2 linked regions of the Coturnix japonica genome follow. The protein of the gene in region 2 interacts with the protein of the main gene of each other region in a pairwise test. Links are inferred from orthologs where the notes say so. Each region holds a gene or a part of one and is shown on either strand. Other genes may lie near its edges.

Region 1 (4,523 bases), on a different chromosome or scaffold from region 2:
CTAATTCAGACACCACATCTACTTCATTAGTGCTAAGGATGATGCTCCCTAAATTGCACCTTTGTCAGACCAGCACTGCCACATTCCATACAATTTCCCTCTCACCAATCTTTACATCGCCTTTCTTCAGGCTGCAACTCAGAGCAGCTTTGCTTCTGCCTTGAAGACACACCCTGGTCTAACAAAGACTCTTCTTTACCTTGTACATCAGGACTGCATACATGGATACAAAGGCAACAGCTTCGAGCTGGGACAGTAGAGGACAGGAACTTACTATTGAATTGACATTCTGGGGTATCTAATGATTCCTGCTGATTTTGAGCTTCTATCAGCAGCAGCAATATGCAAAAATAAACATCATAGAAGAGATTTAAGCCTAATACTTAGAAAAAAATAAGATCCTTGATTGAAAAAGGCAGTCGCTAAGTGTTGTGCTTTTTAACAAGCTTCCAGGTCTCATACTCAATTTGTAACTACAGTAGATTGTCAGAATAAGAAATCTTCAATCCATCAATTATCAAGGTGTACTACAAGTTCTTCCTGTTTTGGATGGGTTACAGTGAAAAGTGTAGGCAAGCCTCTATTTTAAGTTTTCATATAGTGCCTATACGACCTAGGAGATCCTATGCTGTAATATCAAGTATGGCATCAGACACTGCAGAATTGATCCAAAGTTGCTTTCTTTCACTCATCTCTCAAATCAGCGTGGAAATGAGGGAAGCGCTCCCAGCAGCCATTTCCCTTACCTACAATATTAACCAGCATATCCCACTGGCCTCCATCGTTTGTGGGGTTTAAGAGCAGGTATTGCACCAGCCTTCCATCTATGGGCTCCTTTTTCTGAGCTGTTTCCACAAAGGCATTTAGAAAGTAGTAACAACGTTCGACCTATAATGAACAGACAAGACAAATCTCAGTGCGATATACACATCAACTCATTCCCATGTACTCCAGTTCTTTGATAGTCCTAACTAGATGAAATCATCTGCTCAGCCACTAACATGTTTATTTTCCTTTTACTATTCCAAGGCTTAACCAAAAGTTTATTTCTGGTCCAGACAATGTATTTACAAGTGAGTTAACAGAGCTCGAGGGCGGGGGAAACAGGAAATGTGAAACAGAAGTTATATAATGGAGCCTGGCACAAACAAGTGCTAGGTTTTCTCAATTTCCCTTCAGGAAAAAAGCAAACAGCTCCCAAATCAGTAGGTTGCAAGCAGTCCTGAAAGAGCTTCATAGAGCTGCAATTACAGTTAGGCTTCCTGCTGGGCCTACCACAAATAACTTCTGAAATATTCAGAACACTTGAAAGACTTTTACCACTCCAAAGCATTAACATCTTGATGACTTCCTCCTCAAGCTGAAAATCTCATTTTGCCCAATTTTAACTATTTAAAAATTTCTGGTGGTCCTTCTCATGCACATTTCCCATTTGGATTGTTCAGAAAGCCCAATTTAAAAGGAAATCCGTCCTAATGGTAAGACTCAGTTGTGTAAGCATTCCTAGCACAGTCTGCGGCCTGTAGTACTGTACCTTGTCCCAGAAAAAGAGATACGACTGGCTGAACTCAAACTCTTCAATGTTGTACTTCTTCATGAAGGGAAGACGCATTGCATTGAGGCAGGAAAAGATCCAGCATCTCCCTGAGGTCAAAGACACAAGGATTAAACTGCATTATTGCACTCAGAGCTACATAAGGGCTTTGAACAAGAATTCTGTGTTCCATCTTAAGTTTTTGGACCAGTGTCCTGCCCAGCACTGTAGGTTACTGAATAACCAGTGAGTTCAGGAGTCCGGGATGGACTTAATGATTTTAGTGGTCTTTTCCAACCGTAACGATTCTATGCTTCTACGAACCATGCAAACAGGTCTCTCAGTTATTTCCATCTCGCTCTATACAGAAGGAAAAGCAGTTCAGAAGGCAGACGTCACCCCTGAAGGATGCTGCAGGGATTCCTTGTCAGATCTCATATGGAACCTTATGCAGCTGTTCTCTGAACTCAGAAGCCATTCTGAGTACTGCAGTCAGCTCACCTGGAAGGTACGACCCTGAACAAAGCTCCTCTTGATATGAGACCCCCAAAAGGGCTCCAGTAGAGATTCCCACACCTGCAGGGAGGTAACTGCCCACCCCAAAGCACCAAAGGGCGCCCCCAAATCCCCCATTTACCGGAGTTCTTCTGGTTGGTGACGGGTTTGCCCTCAGCAGGCACCGCATGTTGGAAGACCTGGATGGTGTCCTGCACCACCTGCCGCTGCAGACACACCTCCAGCGGGTCATTGCAGGTCGCCACGTTCTGGGCCAGCAGGAACTGCGGCTCAGCCCGCAGCCGCCGGGTAAAGGCCGCGGCCTTTTCAGTGCTGAGCCCTGCGGGGGGGAAGAACATAAAGCAGCATAAGCACCCGGGGATCCCATACCGGGATGCGGGGGGCTCCGGGCCCATAAACACACACGGGTTTTTATAACGGAGAACAACCCTCAAGCCCAACACCAGGGGTAAGCCCACCCCCCATAGACAAGGCCCCACCCCCCCCATAGGCAAGGCCGCCCCCCTATAGACAACCCCCCCCCCCAGAAAAGGCCCCCCCCATAGGCAATGCCCCCCCCAGACAAGGACCCCCCCGCCCATAGGCAAGGCCCCCCACCATAGATAAGGCCCCCCTCCCCCCCGGTTACACCCGCCCCTCACCATGGGCGTTCATGGTGCCGTAAAGCGCAGCGCCACAAACCAGCCGAACCCCGCTCGCCCCGCCGGAAGCGGCTCTTATAGCCCGGCACCGGAAGCAGGAAGTGGGGCCCGAACCGCTCTGCTCTGAGGGTGGCGGCGGCGGCGGCGGCAGTGGTGGTGGGAGGGTGACGGTGGGCGGGAAGGGACAAAACGCGTCGTATCGCGCGAGATCAACCCCGCGGGGAACGTGAGGCTCCGCAGAATCACAGAATGACCCGGGTTGGAAGGGACCTCAAGGATCATGGAGTTCCAACCCCCTGCCTGGCAGGGCCACCAAACATACACCTTTACTAGATCAAGCTGCCCATGGCCCCGTCCAACCTGGCCTTGAACACCTCCAAGGACGGGGCATCCACAACCTCCCTGTGCAGCCTGTTCCAGGGCCTAACCACTCTCCTAGTGAAGAACTTCCCCCTGACATCCAACCTAAATCTTCCCTCTTTTAACTTAAAACCATTTTCCCTTGTCCTGCTATTAGTGGTCCTTTCAAAGAGTTTACTCCCCTCCTGGTTACAGGTTCCCTTCAGGTATTGAAAGGCTGCAATGAGGTCACCCCGCAACCTTCTCTTCTCCAGGCTGAACAAACCCAACTCCCTCAGCCTGTCCTCATAGTGGAGGTGCTCCAGCCCCTGATCATCTTCCTGTCCCTCCTCTGGACCCTTTCCCAAATCTCCATGTCTTTCTTGTACTGAGGGCTCCACACCTGGACACGGTACAACAGATGGGGCCTCACAAGAGCCGAGTAGAGACTGCTCACACTGTAGGCCTCATTAACGTACAGCAAGGTGCGTTTATTGGCAAGGTGCGATCTTAAGAGGAACCCTTCCCCCCTTCACCACAGTGCTGCTCCCCACACGACACCATTGAGGCGCTGTGGATGAGGTGAGCTGTCATCCTTATGCCCTATAGCTGAGTATTGAGCAGTGAGTTCCAATCAGTTGTGAAACGATGCTTGTGTGTTCTATGAGCCTTGTGAAGCTTGTGGCCGGGGTTGTGCTTCAGTGCCTGAGCTCCTCATCTCACACAGGTGTTGCCACCGCTTCAGATGGTGTTGGCTGGGTGTGCAAAGTTTCCTGTGCCGTCTTTACCTGCAGCAAAAGGGGTAAAAATAACCAATCTATAGGGAAAATGAAAGTCAACAGCAGTATTGGGTTCATTGGGGCTGCTGGGGATGTCAGTGTGTGGGTGCTTCATTCAGAGCTTAAAGAAGGGGTTTCATTCAGGCATTTACTGTGAAGCTGGTTGTGCACTCAGATACTTACAGGGCTGTTTCACTTGGTTTTTTGAAGCACTGGAAAGAAAGAGAGAGAGTCCTGTTACCTTTTGCATTTTTCTACCCATAGAAGTATTATTCTTTCCCCTTCAAATACCTGCTATTCGATTTAACTGCTAGTAATTCACCAGGAGATGATAGTACTCAATGAAAGACACTGAAAAACAGCACTACAGAGCAGCATAGAAAAGGTGGAAAACAAAAGGCCATTGAAACATTATGTTTCACCTAAGAAACTGGGTTTTTCCATACCTTAAATATTTTGTCTTTCTGAGCCACGATTCCGAAAAGCACAGTGATGGCAACCACCACAACGGCAGCAATAATCGCCTCCTTGGGGAAAACGGGTTTTCTATCTGTGAAGAGGGAGAGGAGGCTGATAGTTTGGTGCAGTCACATAGTAAAGGCATTTCACAGAGCTGGAGAGTGGAAGGAGGAATTGAAATGCTGGTTCCTGAAGCAGATCCCCCCAGGGTGCTGTGGTGGGGTGAGTGTCCAGCTGTGCCACCCATAGCCCTGC
Region 2 (4,495 bases):
ATTTAGCAATGTCCAGTGCTGTCTGCCTTGATTTATTAATGATGGACCTGTCACACCTACAGAAACAGAAAAGAACAACAGTTAACAGAGTGAATTTTTCAGGAAAAGTTCCAATACTGTACTGTTGTTACAACAGATAGATCTGATACTACTGAGCTGCATCAACTTTTCAGAACACGGAATCAAGGGCATTCTTCGGGCTACATACTAATGGTATTAGAAAATGATCAGAGTTGCATTCCTTTTTTTTTTTTTTTTTTTTTTAAATAGAACGTAGAACTTCTATTGAACTGGCAACTTCTTCAGGGGAGACCTCACTGCACAACTTCCTGAAGGGAGGTTGTGATGAGGAGGGTTTGGCCTCTTCTCCCAGGTGACAAACAGGACCCGAGGAAATGGCAACAATTTGTACCAGAGGAGGTTTAGATTAGTTGTAAGGATGTAAGGAAAAACCTTTTCTCTCAGAGCATGGTCAGACACTGAAATGGCTGCCCTGGGAGGTGGTGGGAGTTGCCATCCCTGGGAGTGTTCAAGAGGTGACTGGATGACGAGTTACAACATATGGTTTAGTAGCTTGTGGTAGCAAAGGTAATGGGAGGACGGTTGGACTAGATGATCTGGTAGGTCCTTTCCAACCTTGTGACTGTATGACCTTCTGATTCTCCTATTCTATGATTCTCCAAAATCTCAGAGGACTCCTCAAAAACAGAGGATTTCAATCTACAATATGTGGCACAGCAAAGCTGCTCTATGTGCTAGAATTCACTAATTATGGTACATAAGAAGACTCCCTTGAGACTCCACAGTGAGCTCCAGCAGAAGAAGGTACAGTACCCTAGTAGGTCTTAAAAATAACGATGTGAAAATCCAGGAGGAAGTAGAATAGCATGCTTGATAATTACTTATAACCACAAAATAATCTAGTCTAGTTTGGCAGTGTAACAAGGGATACAGAAAGGAACCGAGTGGTCTTCACAAAATCACTGAGACATTTATGTTGGAAGGGACCTTAAAGATCATAAGATTCCAAGCCTTCCTGCCTTGGGCAGAGATAACTCCCATTATATCTGTCTGCTCAGGGCCCCATACAGCTTGTTCTTAAATGCTTGCAAGGACTGTGCCACTCAGATTGCCATCATCCATGATGTGAACCTGCTGATGGTGCGCTCAATCTACTGTATGTGTCACTGACAAAGTCATTAAATAACACTGACGTCAATACTAACATGAGGGACACCACTTGTAAAGCTCAACTGAGCTCTTGCTCTCATTTTGTAATGGTATTCATTTGAAATGTGTCAATCTTGGCTTTATTCAGCCTTTAGAAGAATCCTGAGGTTTCAAGACCTTTGAAGCATTCGTTTTACTTGGTGACTTCCAACACCAGAACTACAGGAGTTGACTTGAGAATAGACAATATAATTTAAAATACATTCCTGACAAGCAAAAAAAAAATGCCAAAAAGTTTAATAAAGAAGAACCATCTGAAAAATAATAAAAATGAATGGATGAAATTCAGCAATAACTGACTTTGGTAAAGGCACGTCTATCACATCCAAAATAATGGCCAATGTGCCTGCAAATGTTCTGCAGTAACACAGGTTCAAGTGTATTACAATTAAACCTGAGACAAAAAGCCTAAGTGGAACAATTAAATGTATCAAATTCATACTCAGAACAGTATTTGTAATGGGGTTGTTGTATCATTGTATTTTATTGTACTGTATTGGTTTCTGGGGTGAGTGACCCTGTCTTTGAAGATCAAAGCAGTAACTTTAGAAATCCTCATACTGTAATAACTGCTGTTAGAAAGTATGGAAACCATGATGCAGTAGCACAGTCCATTTATAAACTAACACAAATTTATGAGTTTTAACCCTGAAAATTCTTCTGCTTTCTAGCAAGTAAATGTACTTATCTGATGCCATACTTAAACGGGAAGAATGGGACTTAGCTCTTCAACAGGACCTACTCAACAGCTTACCCTCCTTCAAGAAGTATCCGTACAACATCAAAGTGTCCATTTCTTGCAGCGTACATCAGAGCTGTCCAGCCATTACCTGAAGTCGCATTGATCAGTGATGGGGAACGGCTGAGCAATGCTTTCAGCCTGGCTGTGTCTCCAACCGCAGCAAAATTATGCAGCTGAGAAATCATTTCCTGATGGAAGTTCTTTTCAAAGCTGGTCATTGTCTCAACTGAGTTAGAAAACAAGAACACCTAAAAATATACTCACTGTTAGGAAAATATTTTCAGTAAACCAAGTAAACTTTTAACACGACACAGATAACCCTTTGGAAAAACACAAAACCTGACACACAAACCCCAAGAGCTCTGGGAACAATGGAAGACACACATAACAGGGGTCTCTCTCCAGAAGACCAGACCACTGCTCTCTCTAGGCCGACCTTCCCTAAGCAGACACCTGCGGCGCAGCGTCGGCCATTTAACTCCACCAATGTCCCCACAGCTGCTTGGAGGCCTCACAGGGCAGCAGGACACTGTCAGTCCGCCCGCCCCCGGCACAGACCCAGCTCCACTCACGCGCAGCCCGCACTTAGGGCATGCAGCAGCGTCACTAGGGCGCTTTGGCTGTGCATGCAAGGTAGCAGCCGTTTTAACCCTAGGCTCGTCCCGGCGTAGGCTACGGACCAGCCTCAGGCGGGGGAGGATCGTACGTGACCCGCTGTTTATCTCCCGGGCCCGCACCCGCTGTAGGGCCGAGCTGCCGGTCGCCCCATTACCGTCAGCCTGGTTCCGTTCGCACTTCCGCGGCGGAAGGGGCGCGTCCCAAAGCCGGCCCGCCTCCCCCCCCGCTCCGCTGCCCCGGGGTCGGGAGGGCGCCCAGCGGTCAGGCCGCTTAGCAGTGGGTGCTGGCTGTAGCAGCAATCCCTGGCAGTTCTGCCTGGTTACTCTTTGTCGGACAAATTATTTAGCTATAAAAATTGCTTTCTTTTGCAAGGTAATAAACCGGATTAATGATAGAATACAAGATAGAGTACTAATTGCAAGAGATGTAGAACAAACGAGATACAGCAGGAGATAGCAATTGAAAGGGGAGCTGGAGTGCTGGCAGTTCCCCTTTGCCCTGCTCTCGTGAAGCCCCACGTGGAGTGCTGTGTATTTGGGCCCGCAGCGAGGAGTGCAGCCGTGGGAGTGGGTCCAGAGACAGCCCTAGAGTTGGTCAGAGGGCTGCACTTCTCCTTGGTTAATGGCTTCTTCAGCCTGGAGGAAAGGAAGCTCCAGGGAGCCCCAACTGTGGCTTTCCGGTACTCCTTTTCATAAGCAGCCGCTTATGAATAGGAGGAGAACTGACTTTACAGTTGTATAGTGATAGGGTGTAGTGGTTGGCGACCCTGCATATAGCAGGGGGCTTGAAACGAGATGATCATTGCAATCATTTTCAACCCAAGCCATTCTGCTCTTCTATAATTCTATGGTGGTGAAGTCCTGACACAGGCACATCTCCGCTCCTGGAGATGTTCAAAACCAAGTTGGGTAGGATCATGGGCAGCTTTATTAGCAAGGTGGCAGCACTGCCCACAGCATGGGGTTGGAATTGGAACTGGATGGTCATTAAGGTTCCTTCCAACCTAAGCTATTCTGTGATAAAAGCTGGAAGATAGTTTCACAAGTGTGTGCTGTTAATGTGTGAAAAGCTTAGGGAAATTGTGACTGCCAGTCTTAGGAAAATGCATGTATTTAACAAGCACTGCTTCCTAGAAGCATCAAAACATGAAAATTACCACTGACTAAGAGCGAAGAGTGCATGCAGCCTATGATTAGTGAGAAAAGGGGCAGTCAGAACTGCTGAACATGAGCTGACTGTAGGCATTTTGATGCCTAACATCTGCAAAAGGAAACATCTGGTGATGCAGGGACTTATGGTAAATACTTAAATACATGAACAGAAACTATGAAGTAAATTGGGTTTGGGAGCTCAAGAAGAATGCACTTGTTCTTTTTAGTCAGTTTTAAACCACGTGATTGAAACAAAAATAACTGTACGCTGCAAACCATCCATCAGGGGCTGGGCCAGACTCACCAGCTGTTACACAAGCTGTTTTGCTGCTGACACACTGGTAACACTGATGGGACTACTGCAGTTTGTCTACCTGTGGTTACCAAGCTTTGTACTTGGCTTAAAAAATGTGGATAAATGTTAGTCCAACACCAGGTATTTTGAAGTCCTGATGCCACACATAAGCTTTCAGAGAATAAAGAAAAAAAAAAAAACAAAACCAACTTAAAATTTGGTTGTTTGAAGATATTTTGTTTTCTTTTTACATGCCTTTCCAGTTATCAAGTCTGGTAGATTCATATTGTCAGGTTTCTTGAATATATCAACACTTTAAACCCATACAGACCAGACTGCTTTTGCTTGTGGTGCTTTAAGGAAACATGAGACATACTCACAACAGCACATATTTGCAGCACTGACTAAAGAGAATGAGAGAAACTGTGACTGGGTTCTGTCAGTCCCAGCAGTGGCATA

The links.
Region 1: the proteins of NUDT12 (region 2) and BLMH interact in binary tests that used the Homo sapiens proteins (3 or more experiments, as listed by UniProt). The two-hybrid records come from large-scale screens. The link is inferred for Coturnix japonica from reciprocal best matches to the Homo sapiens genes NUDT12 and BLMH.

The regions. Positions count from the first base shown.
Region 1 is NC_029534.1:5,007,263-5,011,785, forward strand, and holds the start of BLMH (bleomycin hydrolase), read right to left. Parts: upstream 2,829-4,523; 5' UTR 2,705-2,828; coding exon 2,692-2,704; intron 2,370-2,691; coding exon 2,172-2,369; intron 1,645-2,171; coding exon 1,535-1,644; intron 889-1,534; coding exon 747-888; intron 1-746. Other genes in the region: TMIGD1 (transmembrane and immunoglobulin domain-containing protein 1), read right to left, coding at 3,815-3,818, 3,993-4,021, 4,256-4,359. UniProt on the Homo sapiens protein: The normal physiological role of BLM hydrolase is unknown, but it catalyzes the inactivation of the antitumor drug BLM (a glycopeptide) by hydrolyzing the carboxamide bond of its B-aminoalaninamide moiety thus protecting normal and malignant cells from BLM toxicity.
Region 2 is NC_029547.1:44,271,941-44,276,435, reverse strand, and holds the start of NUDT12 (peroxisomal NADH pyrophosphatase NUDT12), read right to left. Parts: upstream 2,843-4,495; 5' UTR 2,745-2,842; exon of another isoform or gene 2,653-2,744; intron 2,637-2,652; exon of another isoform or gene 2,545-2,636; intron 2,529-2,544; exon of another isoform or gene 2,221-2,528; 5' UTR 2,191-2,220; coding exon 1,985-2,190; intron 57-1,984; coding exon 1-56. UniProt on the Homo sapiens protein: mRNA decapping enzyme that specifically removes the nicotinamide adenine dinucleotide (NAD) cap from a subset of mRNAs by hydrolyzing the diphosphate linkage to produce nicotinamide mononucleotide (NMN) and 5' monophosphate mRNA.